Linked DNA regions of Mus musculus: all the other regions are reported to be linked to region 1. Evidence: microRNA targets listed by miRTarBase, many of them from high-throughput screens and not tested one by one. Region 1 holds a microRNA gene; each other region holds the end of a gene's coding sequence.
Evidence for each region. The annotated mature microRNA mmu-miR-547-3p reads CUUGGUACAUCUUUGAGUGAG and lies in region 1 at 1,144-1,164, shown strand. An mRNA with a match to its seed (bases 2 to 7 or 8) in the 3' UTR can be bound and repressed. Matches are read on the target gene's strand: a 7mer-m8 pairs with bases 2 to 8, a 7mer-A1 pairs with bases 2 to 7 and ends in A, and an 8mer does both.

Region 1 (3,193 bases):
TCTATTTTATGTCACCAAAACTAGAGAAGAATTTAGGCATGAAGGAGAGGAGAGAAGCTGCTCAGCTTTGTCTCCAGCTATTATTACAGTGTGCCATGGCCTAGACTCATTATGCTTTCGGTATCTACTCAGCATTTCTCTGTGCAGAGAGTACCAGCTAGTCCTGCTATACGTTAGGTGGCTACAAGAACTCTTGTGGTTTTTAATTTTAGGTATTGTCTGGAATTAGTGTGAAATGAAGCCAAGAATCCTGTATTTATGAGTAAAGAGATAGTCTCTAGGCCCTTTCTTTGAATGCTACAATTCATAGAAATTTTTTTTTATATTTACAATGTAGTTTTTTGTTGTTACTGTTATAATTTTCTTTGCTTGAATTTTCTGAGCTGTATTTGAATATACTGCATTTTTGTATGATCTTTTTACTCCTGTATTATTTGTGACTTTATATAAGTATTCTTTCAAGTTCTGAATGACAGTTTAGATCTCCTATTGCTTACTTTGTTCTCTTTTCAGGATTTTTTAAATTTTACTTGCACATTTATTTTTATGTATTCCTTGTTTACTTTCTTTATTTTTGACTTGTAAGTTTATGGCTGCTGCTGCCACTGCAGTGGACTTTTATCTTGGATAAGATGATACCAAGCCAAGATCCACATTTTAGAATAAGAATACCTCAAGTTTCTGAGCTTACCCTTTTCAGAACTATTCCTACTTAATTTAATGCAGCCTGCAACATGTGGAGCTAATGAGTTACTGAAGTGACTCATTCTGCAAGAGCTGAATTTTATGTACACAAAGTATAGGGTGATGAAAACTCTATCCTATATCTATAAAGGGAAGATATGAATGGGGATATCTGATATTTCCCAGTCATAAACTCTTATGTTATTATATGGACAGAACACAAAAATGACTTAAGGAAGACTTGGGTAGAAAAGAAGGACAGGGGTGGTAAAAGAGAAGTAAGAGGAATGAATGTCATTCGTGTCTTTTGAGAAGATTCTTCTGATGATTCATGTAATGAGGGTGTGTATTGGCTTACTAGATGAAATGGCAGAGGGAACAGACTAGTGTTAGCACCTTCACTCATGTAGTGTGTGATGTATCACTTGAGGATGTACCACCCATTTAACAGGAAACATGCTTGGTACATCTTTGAGTGAGATAACACACAACAGCTACCACCTCAATACTGACCCTAGAAAAGGGGCTTGAGTCTCAGCATAAGCTATTTTTTTGCTACTTCAACTCATAGTACACTTTGGAGAATGCTGTATACAAGAAAGGATTGACAGCAATGTTCCCTGGGAATAGAGTCATCTATTTTTCATTGCTTTGTGTTTATGTTAAGATGAGTTGGCTACTTTCAATGATGCTGTGTACAGTACCTTACTCAGTAAGGCATTGTTCTTCTATATTAATAAATGAACAGTGCCTTTCTGTGTAGGGTAATGTGCAACATGGACAACATTTGTGGTAGCATTGATAGTAAGTTTCAGTCATAGATCAGTAATGAACATCCAGCCTTGGGTTATTTCTAAGTGCTCTCTTGTATACCTCTTAAGGAACCAGATCTAGAAACTAAGAGTCTCTTAGAAAAATGTTTGTCCTTTCAAGTTGATATTACAACTAACCAAGTGGAAGGCAAGATATATCGTTCACTTTCACCTTTTAGTCATACATCTTTATATAGTTAAACCATTTATTATTTTAAAGCTATAAAAATTTGTACCTCTATGATATTTTTACAATATTTGTTTCTTATGTAAGCAAATGCTACTTTTCCCCTCAAGAACAAAACTCATTCTGATTTCTTTCAGTATTCTTGTGTGCTTTTGATAACATCCTATCTATGTTTATTTGCTAAAAATCATATCATTACAGGTGGAAATACTGACAGAGACAGAGATAAATAGAGGCATCAGGTTGTACTGTTTTGTTACATTTCTGTATTAGGAGAATCGAGATATGTCAATGCCCCCTTGCTTGTAAACTACATCAAACCCTTCTACTATATTCCATTTTATTTCAAATCTAATGCTTTTAGCTAGAGTATATCTATTTAAAACTTCTAATATGTGTCTTCAAAAGAATGATAGGAGTAAGTTCTCCATATTTTAAGCCACAGTTTTGCTCATTCTGATACTGGTCCAGGCATTTCTTTCAATTTGTTCCCAGTTCAGATTGAGATAATTTCAAGTAACTAGCTGTGTGCATCCCAGAATAGAAGATGGTAGATTATACTGATAATCATCATGCATGAAGGGAATGGTCAAGGAAACCAAAGAACTTAGAACAATATATGGACATTTTTAGAGTACATGATTTTTTTATTCCATAAAGCTTTCTTGATAACTCAAATGGGATTTCCGCATTCTAGACTGTGAGTAGGAAATGGGATTTCCATTTTCTCCATTCTAGACCTTATAAATGATTATATTCTTTGTTTCAGGTATCCTATACGTGCATCATTATTGTTTCATTGCTCAGGAGTTGAGGATCTTTAAGTGGTAAGGTACAAAACAATAAAAACCATGTCTCTGCATGGCTCAACACATATTTGTTCCTATTTAACACCTTAAAGTTTCAGATATATGTTTGTATGCAGATGAGTGCCCTTATAACACTTGTCAAAATCTGCAGATATAGATGACAGAAACACAGAATTGCCACAGATCTCATTTACCAACAGAAATAAAAAAGAACCTCAAGAATAACTACTGTAAGTTAATACTACCTCCTTTTTTCCTTTCCACATTTTTATTAGATATTTTCTTCATTTACATTTCAAATGCTATCCCCAAAGTCCCCTATACCCTCCCCCAAACCTACTTCCTAACCCATTCAATACTGCTTCCTGGCCTTGGCACTCCCCTGTACTGGGGCATATAATCTTCACAAGACTAAGAGCCTATCCTCCCAATGATGGCTGACTAGGCCAAGGTCTGCTATACATGCTCTGGGGGTACTGGTTAGTTCATATTGTTGTTCTTCCTATAGGGTTACAGACCCCTTCAGCTCCTTGGGTATTTTCTCTAGCTCTTTCATTGGGGGTCCTGTGTTCCATCCAATAGATGACCGTGAGCATCCACTTCTGTATTTGTCAGGCACTGGCATAACCTAACAAGAGACAGTTATATCAGAGTCCTCTCAGCAACTTAGAATACCTAAGATACAATTTGCAAAACACATG
Region 2 (3,193 bases), not on the chromosome of region 1:
GACTATGTTCACCAGACTGGAGGCAGGTGCCTACAGAACAGAGGTCTGTGACTACTCGACTCTCACCCCCCTGCTCCCCACCATCCCAACCTCCCTCTTCTACTGCCCTCTTTCCACCTCCACCAGTGGCCTCTGTCCTGCTTCCTCTCCTGACTTCTGCCTCTCTTCCTCCTTCTCTGATAGCCACTGTCTCCTTCCCTGTTGGCCTCCCTCCTCTGCTGGCTTCTGACGTCTCCCTCTTTTCTTCCTCCTTCCTCCTTCCTCAGGCCAACCTCTCTCTCTCTCTCTCTCTCTGCTGGCATCCACTCCAGTGCCTCCTCTGACCTCTCCCTCTCTTCCTCCTCCTTTTGTCTCCAGGTTCGGGACAAGAAGCTCTTGAATGACCTGAATGGAGCTGTGGAGGATGCCAAGACAGCACGGCTGTTTAACATCACCAGTTCTGCTCTGGCAGCCTCCTGCATCATCCTTATCTTCATTTTCCTGCGGTACCCACTCACTGACTACTGAGCTAGCAGGCAGTGGGTCTTGGCGACACAGCACTGAGACTGATGGTCACTGAGATTCAGGATGCTGAGATTGTGGGGCAGAATGGGCTTCCACCAAGGCCCAGAGCCATGCATGGCAGCAAGGTCACCAGAAGCTGAGTGCCCGACCGAGTGGCGCACTCTTCCCAGCCACCCTATCTGCCGCCTGCCCCTGTCCTGCTGGCACCGGGTCTATGGGCTTCCTTCCATGATGCTGCCCAGTGACCAGTGGCTGCCCTCCCTGGCCCATGCACCCTGCCCAGGATCCTGGACCCCTCAGACCTGACACCCAGCAAGAAGGGCTTACACGGGAGCTCCCGAAATAGGGGCTGCCAGCACCTGGGGTTCCCTCACTCCTGACCCCCCACTTCCTCCAAGCTGTGACCCCTGCTCCAAGCTCTTGTATCTGTGAACTTTCATTAAAACATGTGCTCAGCTCAGCTTCAGCCTCTGTCCATGTGCCAGGCAGGGCCTAGGTGTCCCTTGGAGGTTTGGAGTGCTGCTTTGCAGCCTATGCCCCCAGGGCCTGCACACAGCTAATTCCGTAGGAGGTGTGTTCAGAAACCAAGTGGTCTTATGAGGGCCAGCTGTGTAGGATGGCAAAGTGAGGGGTGTTAGGTGGAGGGGCTCCCCACAGGGTTCACAGAGCCATGCACCCTGTGCAGAATCCAGGAGAAGCTTCCTTCAGTAGTGTTGGGGACAGGCTGCCAGTCCCTGGGAAACCCACAGGGTGCTGATGGGTTCTCATCCACTTAGCCCCTGAAATGGGGAAAGAGGCTCCCCTGTCTGTCAACTGAAGGTGGCTGCTCAAAGGTCAAGATTAGCTGTGCTGCACTAGGAAGTAGTGCTGCCCACAGAAGGATGCTGCCCCATGTGCTGAGGGTGGAGCAAGCAGGAAGGCAGGAACAGGACAGTGCACAGAGTGGACCGAGTCCTGACCCTGTGAGGTCCTGGTTGGCCTTGGAAAAAAGAGATACTGTGGGGCTCTAGTAGGGGCCAATGGTGTGCTCAGTGGTGTGGACGCTTGGCACCCTTTGCGGTTTCTGATCATACCCTTGGAGGTATCGGGAGTGTCAGGAGAAGACAGGCAAGAGCAGATACCGTTGCCGGCTGTGGGCAGAGAGTGTAGGTGGGGTTAGTGGAGGGCTGGCCAGATGCAGAAGCTTGAGCTGGTTCTGACCAGATGGGGTTAACCAAGAATGAGAGATGGGGGCAGCGCAGGGTCACCGGGAATTCAGTGCAACTGGTACACTGAAATATAAGCAAGCAGCTCCTGTCCCTCTGTCATGCCCTCTCCACTCTGAAATCACGAGTCAAAATACACTCCTGCATCACGATGCTTCTCTTCAGGTATTTGAGCACAGAGATAAGAAAACTATTGCACGCTGTACAGCAGTACAGGAACGTTAACCACTGAGCAAAACTTTCAAGCAGCCAGAGCGAGGGTCGGTGGGGGACCAACACATTATTTCAAAGCTGCAGGGAGAGGTGGCTTTTCAAAAAAAAAAAAAAAAAGATGGCATAGCTAGCATCTGTGGGAAATGATGTATTTCTTGGGACTGGTTCTTGGGAGGCAGGCCATAGGGTTCCCAGAACACCTTTTTTTTTTTTTTTTTTTTGGTAGGAGATGCCAGTTATGAAGCGTTTACACTCTTGTTTTTATCAGAGGCTCTGCCCCTGTGGCTGCATGCCTCCCTCCCCTGCTGCCTGGTGTTTGTCGCTGCCAAGCTCATGGTGAGATTCAATGGCAGCTTCAGCTTGTACCACCCTGGATATTTGTCACCTCTAGTAGAGTCCTCACCACTTCCTATGGGGCTGTTGTTCTTTTAGCCACTTCCTTGTCAGCCAGTGCTTGGTGGGTGTGGCAGGTAGCGCTCTCCACATCTTCCTGACACCCCTCATGTGACTACAGCTTCTCCTCTGTAACTTATCAACAGAAGGCATCTGCACACTGGAGAGGTGGCTCCGCAGTGACACGTGCACTGCCCTTCCAGAAGACTCAGGTGCAGTTTTCAACACACATGTGGCATCTTTCAAACATCTGTAACTCCAGTTCCAGGGGTTCTGAAGTTCCGGCTTGCACACAGTGCACATATAGTCGTACAAGCAAATAAGACAATAAATATTATTTTGAAATAATTCTTCCTTTTTTTTTTCAAGAAAGGGGGGCATGGGGATGAAAATCCACCTTATATGACTATCAAAGTACCCACTCGTGGGGTGCTGGTGGGGATCAAATGAGCATTTATTTTCCAGATTTTTAAATCACAGATTTTTTTCTATGTAGCTTCCATCCAATGTGCATATTTATAGCATGTTATTCACAAATGCTACAAATATGAGACAACCAAAACACCCATCTATATATGTTTTCTTATGCATGAAAAACATGTACCCAAACATATCTTGGTTTGAGTTTCCAGTAACTTCCCTAAGGGAAGATGTCTTAGTTAGGGCTTTCATTGCTGAGCACAGACACTATGACCAAGAACTCTTCTTAAAAAGACAACATTTAATTGGGGCTGGCTTACAGGTTCAGAGGTTCAGTCCATTTTCATCAAGGTGGGAACATGGCAGCATCCAGGCAGTCATGGTGCAGGAGGAGCTGAGAGTTCTACATCTTCACCTGAAGGCTGCTAGCAGAATACTAGCTTCTAGGCAGCTAGGAG
Region 3 (3,193 bases), not on the chromosome of region 1:
CTACTCCTCCAGAGGACCCTGGTACCCACATGGCAGCTCTAAACACCAGTTCCAGGGGATCCAATACCCTCACATGCAGACAAAACCAATGCACATAAAATAAAAACTAAAACACTAGAAAGTATTCCAAGTGTGACCCCTCAATACCTAGCCTCTTTTCCATGTCCTCTACCTTTGCTATTCCACCTACATCTTCGGGGAGAAGAGACAGAAGGGCCACGCTAGACACATAAAATCCCATTTTCTAGGCCTCAAAATCCAGATAGGAACATCTTGTAACTTCTAGAGACTTTTTCTCGTGAAAGGAGCTCAGAGCAGACCCACCTTTACAAGGAGAGCCAACCTTACCCTTCTGAGTGCTCTGAGGCTCCAGTCTGAAGAGCCTGCTCCCTAATCTCTGCATCTTCTGGTTGGTCTTTAATCTTTACTCTGAAACTAGAATCCATAAAGGATGGAGTCAGACACAAGGCTGGCAGAAGCAAACACCAGCTAGGCACATGATCCATCACCTTGATTAAACTTGCCTTAAGTTCTGTATGCAGGTGTTAGATTTAGAAGAAAATTGAAATTTATGAATGGCTTTTGTGCACTACTTTACTGATATTAATCTAGAGTTTCAGGATCCACATTCCTATAAAAATGATAGAATTGTCCTACCAAATATATACTAGTTAACATTCTGTAATAGTCCATATTAGCAAAAACTTCACATTGAAGTCAAACTATAGGCTCTGATTTTTCAAAGACAGGTTGCTTTTAAACTTTGGCATTTATAAAGAAATCAAGATTAATTGATAGTCGTCATTCATCCCTTTTTCTTTTCCTAAAATATGTGCTTTAACTTCCAGGGATATGGTGAATCTTCAAAAAAGTAGCATCTAACTAAAGCTGAACTGTGGCATTTTTACCAGAACCAAGTCACTTACATTGACTGGCAGGTGGGGGTGCAGGTTCAATGGATGCTCATTTTCTCATTTCACTTCACAACTATACAAATACAAATAAGTTAATCCTATAATAGAGTTCCTCACTACCTTTTCCTTTGTCCGCATTTAACTGCTTCGAATTCCTTTCCTAGCATGCACTCAAGTTTATCCTATCTATTATAAACAACAAAGCTCCTTAATTATGGGTCCCCTCTCGACATGACCCTTTTCCCCATTTCCCTTTGTAGGGTCCTTTAAAGCATTTGCATATTTCATTGAGGAGACCTAGCATGATTTAGGGTAAATGTTTTTACTGAGTGGACATTTATGTTATGAATTTACCACAATCAAATAGAACTTCCTTAATATCCTTGAGGAAATACTTTCAAACATGACTCTAAGCACTTCTAAAGAACTCTAGAAATAAAAATGACTGGGCCAAGAGGACTGCACAGAATTTATGGGTTTGTATCCTCCTCAATATTCAGACATTAAAAAACCTTGAACTCCCAGGACTTCGGAACCAGATCATGTGATCTTATCTGAAGAGAGGTCTTTTCATAGATGTGTAAGAGGAGGTCTTCAGGGCGGAGCGTTACTCAGCACAAAGAAACAGGAGGGGCCAATGATGCTCCATGACACAGCACAGTGGGAAACAAAATCTTGGCCCGTTCTGGGAAGTACTATTTGATTGTAGTAAACTCATAACATGAATGTCCACCACTCAGGAGAGCAATCCTTTGCTTTTAGACTGGTGGCTTCCTAGCCTCCATAACTACAAGAGCATACATTTCTGGTGTTTGAGGTAGATTTTTTGTCATTGTGGACTGGTGGACTTCAAAAGTTTGAGAGAACGCCTGGAAATGATAGCAAAATAGCTTCGACAACCTCTCCCTAATGGACTGGTGTATCAATATTGAATGCTAGTCACTCTCCTTTGGGAAAGTCTCATTGTTAGTTCTGGCTGAGCTGACATGACATTTGCTGTTGTGTATGAACGAGGTTGGTCTCAGACTCACTGAGATCTGTCTGCCTATACTTTCTGGATGCTGGGATCAAAGATGTATACCACCACACCCCACCCTTTCTGAAGTGCTCTGTGTCTGTCTCTCTTTTTTTGAGACAGGGTACCTCTATAGAGCTTTAGCTGAGCCCAGAGGCAGGGCTGACCAGGCTGGCTTCAATTTCAAAGATCTGCCTGCCTCGGCCTCCTGAGTGCTATGAACCACTCACTATGACTGGCTATTGTCTTCTTAATGCACTTTTTTTTCCCCAGAAATTGAACTCATTTCTAGTGTTTTATTTCCTTTTATTTTGAAACATCTAAAATCTTCAGATGGATCAACTTTTTTGTAACTATTCACATTTAACTATGATTAATATAGTTTGGTACAATGAGAAAAACAAAAATCAAAACATAAAATTTAGAAATATGTATTCATTTGTTGACTACTGCCAAAGTTGGCCATTCTTTAGGATTATCAAATTTACCATGAAGCATATTTCTAAAGGTAAAAGCTAGGCAATTAGGAACTGCATAGTTAAAAATAACTGATTTTCCGACGTATGCAAAAGTCCCCATCCCCTTCAATAGCACATATAGTAAGGGTTATGCTTTTGAAACTGCTTTCACCATTGACTTTCCTGTTGGAACTATACCATGGAATACCAAAAGAGGCCTTAAAACTGTATAATGAAGAGTTGCAAAATTATTTTAGCCATAGAATCTATCCCTACAAATAACAATCTGTACATAATGCGTGTATCCCCAGTGCCTCTGTCATTAAGACTACCCAGCCTGAGGACAATCTGTCTCCACCTTCAGCATTTCTTCCCGGCCTTTGCGTGGGTTAGGATGTGAATCTTCTGGTTATTTGACTGAATAAAGCTCTTCTCGCAGCCATCAAAAGGACACACAAAGCGCCTCTCCCCGGTGTGGATGCGGATATGGGTGCGCAAGTTGAAATCCAGGGAGAAGCGCTTCCCACAGCCTTCGAACGTGCACTGATACGGCTTCTCTCCGGTGTGCACCAGAAAATGTCGCTTTAGTTTCGAGCTCTCCGTGAAGGCTTTGCCACACTCTGCACACACGTGCCGCCGGGGCCCGTGGACAAGCATGTGCTTCCTCAGGGCGGTTTTATCCCTCAGCTTCTTCTTGCACCCGGCTTGAGGACACTCCAGCATCGATAAGACACCACAGTACACACCGCCCTCTGGCTTCTCTGCAGGGCCGCCTGCAAGTAATGAGCTCGCCCCAACCCTCAGCG
Region 4 (3,000 bases), not on the chromosome of region 1:
GAAGCCACTGACAACATGCTGGAGCTGTCACACCCTCTTCTACAACAGACTGAGGACCAGTTCCTGTCCCCAATCCTGGCGGCCAACTCCCCCCTGATCAGCTTCTCCCCGCCCTTGGACCAGGACGAATACCTGTGGGGCATGGACGAGGGGGAAGGCATCAGTGACCTCTTCGACTCCTATGACCTTGGGGACCTGTTGATTAATTGAAGCGTCCTGCATCTGTCTACCTCCTCACAGACAGATTGACAGGCTCTCTGCCCAGATGGGGGACACCAGACACCAGGTGTCACCCTCCGTCTGCGCGGCTCTCTTCCAGCCTTCCTTAGGGCGGAGGCCAGCTAGGGAGATGTGGAGGATTCGGCTGGGGAGTGATATCAGGGCTAAGCCCTGACCCTCCTCTTCTGACCTCCGACCCCTTCATGAAGGACTACGGGTGCAGGTGGCCATGTTCAGGGAAAGGGCTCACTGCCTCCTTCTGAGGGGCAGGGGGACCCTGACTTTTTCAAGAAGCACTTAACGCCTTTGTATTTATTTCTAGTTCAGATGTGTTTGTTTGTCCACCCTGAGTTTTAGCAGGGAGATTTGTTCTAGTTTCTCCTCAGACAGGCCCACCCACGCCCAGTGCCTAAGCGCACATCTGGGCTTCCAGGGGTCTAGGCCAGCTCCTTGCCCCCCGTCCCCCCGTCCCCCCAGTGGTGCCTGGGTCTTGAGGGGACTATCCAGTTTGCTTGAATTAATTGCACTTAGGCTTTGTAATTTTAGAAAATGCCAGGCCCAGCCAAGGCACCGGCTTGGAATTCTCCATCTCCTCCATCCTAGAGAAAGTTCCAGTAGCTACTCTGGGGGAGGTAGCCAAGGGGGCTGGCTTCCTATTGGATGTCTTATCTTTCCTGAGCCTCCCAATGTAAATGTAGGCCTTCAGGAATTAGCCCAGAAGAGCTCCTGGGAAAAGCAGGAGGCCACGCCCGTGCCTCCTAGATGCCCTTCCTCAGGAGGTCAGAGACCTGGAAGGTGGAGGCAGAGAGGAGTGAGAAGAAAACAAGAAACACCCTGGGGTCTGCCCATGTTTCCCTGGGAGGATTATTTTTGTTTCTTGGTTGCAGTTGGAGGGGGAAGATTCCTTAAACACCCACTGTCCCAAAGCCCTCACTTCACTTCCAAGGTCAGATGTGACAGGAGCTTGGTGACAGGTTTGCACCTTTCCCCACTGGAGTGCTTCGGGGGTGAGGGGGCAGGGGTGGGGTGCTCTTCCCTGCAGACTAGGCCTCAGCAGCTCATGACGGGATAGGCTGGCGCCTGCCACCTCTCCTGGCATGGGGATCTGGGAAGAGCTCTTGGTCTCTCTTGTTCTGCCCATAGACTGACCATCCAGGGTTCCTGTGGTCAGGAGACGGCAAGAGTCCGCTTTTCTTCCTCGCCTTTCCAGGCATGGAGAATGGGCTTAACCAAGGCCACGTGTCCAGAGAGGTGTACCCAGGGGTGACGGGGTCTGAGAGGCCTTCCACCTACCCTCAGGGAGCCTGGGTTTCTCAGGGGCTCAGTGGGGCAGCACTTTTTGCTTGTTGTTGTTTTAAGTTTGTAGCATTAAATTGATTTAAAAGATGAAGTTGGCTATGCCAGGTAGGTCCGAGCTAGCTGACTGGGAATTTGAAGTTTGGATGTTGAGCTAATATGTACTGGTGCCCATTTGGGTTAATTTGTCTTATCCTCGAGTCAGCTTCCTGGTGCCACAAACTTAGTCCTGTCCGAGGAGTGGTCAGCGACTCACCCCCCCCCACACACACTTGAAATTTGTCTATTTTTACACCGAGTGTCCAACCTTTTGACATATGTGACCTCGTCGTCTCTAAAGTTCACCCTCAGGAACTGCATAGATAAGCTACCAAAAAAAAAAAAAATCTCATGATGTTTGAAGTACGTTTACAACTCTGTGTTGGGCTGTGTTCGTAGGTGTCTGCGACCCGTGCTGCAGGTTAGATACACCTGCTGCAGAGATGTCCTTGGTCTCTACCAAGCGAGGGGGGTTTCTCAGACCACCCAGAAAGCCCAGTGTGCTCTAGACACAGGGGGTCCCTTGAGTGATGAGGGTGCTACCTGAGATCTGGTTTGATGCACATGAGGCCGGAGACAGCATTGCTGTTTCCTGGTCTTTGCCGTTTAGCTGTGCGCCAACAGAGATATCTGACCTCTGTGCCTTGGGCTCTGGGTGGAGGAGAGCTTGGCTTAGCGAGAAGAGGGCTGCCATTCCTGTCTGGTGTGAGGTTAAGAATACAGTCCAGATTCAAGTTCAGTCAAAAGACCCAGCGCAGGGATGGATGGAGGCTTCCCCAGTCTTTTTGATCTCTGAGCTCTTTCTTATCAACCCTGCCTGGTCCAGGGGCTGGACCTCCCGGGAGAAGCCCGAGGCTAGCGTGGGAACAAGCTCACACCTCTTTCTTGCCAATGATACTTGAGACCTCTTTAAGTTCCTTAGAGTGCTTTAAAAGAACGGGGTGTACCCCTTTTGGAACACTGTTTTGAGTGGTATGTCTTTTAGGCCCTAGGGAAACGTTCATGCTAGGGTGGGAAAGCTACCAGTTTCTTTCTGAGGGGAATACTTTCTTCAGGGAAGTTTCCCAGCCCTACCAGTGTCCCCTGCTGATATCCCTGGGGACTCCAGAGCATTTAGCAGAATTAAACTTGTAAATAGGCTTGGAGATGCACCATTGAAGATGTCAGGCTGAGTCCCTTCTCTGTGTGGCTGTGAGGAGTGGGAGTTTGGGGGAGTTTGTAAACTATTTCAGGGGGTGCAGTGTGGTTTCCCCTCCCTGTGAGGCCTCAGCCTCTCTTCTGCACAGATTCCGTGTTGTAAAGAGTTTGCTCATGCCGCCATCGGTGTGCTATAGCTTTAACGCTTCTGAAACCTCTGGGGTTGATTAGAAGCCGGGGCTTAAGTTTCCGTCGTACCCAGAGGCCCCACCTCACCCAGGTCGTCTCTTCTCCCACAAGGCTCTTCAG

Region 2: miRTarBase lists Ifitm10 as a target of mmu-miR-547-3p. The part of its 3' UTR that is shown has no 7-base or 8-base seed match.
Region 3: miRTarBase lists Zfp42 as a target of mmu-miR-547-3p. Seed matches in the 3' UTR shown: 8mer at 2,312-2,319.
Region 4: the mRNA of E2f2 is a reported target of mmu-miR-547-3p. Seed matches in the 3' UTR shown: 7mer-A1 at 1,884-1,890.

The regions. Positions count from the first base shown.
Region 1 is chrX:67,986,354-67,989,546 of GRCm38, reverse strand. Mir547 (microRNA 547) reads left to right here and starts at 1,096; the gene lies at 1,096-1,173. Mir201 (microRNA 201) reads left to right here and starts at 1,386; the gene lies at 1,386-1,451.
Region 2 is chr7:142,353,279-142,356,471 of GRCm38, reverse strand. It overlaps Ifitm10 (interferon induced transmembrane protein 10), which reads left to right. Exons shown (of 3, transcript NM_001347541.1): 3 at 358-964. The coding sequence ends at 507. Among named protein-coding and RNA genes, the nearest start is that of Ifitm10, 19 kb to the left of the region's middle.
Region 3 is chr8:43,292,849-43,296,041 of GRCm38, forward strand. Zfp42 (zinc finger protein 42) reads right to left here. Exons shown (of 4, transcript NM_009556.3): 4 at 2,219-3,193. The coding sequence ends at 2,748. Among named protein-coding and RNA genes, the nearest start is that of Zfp42, 13 kb to the right of the region's middle.
Region 4 is chr4:136,192,828-136,195,827 of GRCm38, forward strand. E2f2 (E2F transcription factor 2) reads left to right here. Exons shown (of 7, transcript NM_177733.7): 7 at 1-3,000. The coding sequence ends at 210. Among named protein-coding and RNA genes, the nearest start is that of Asap3, 12 kb to the right of the region's middle.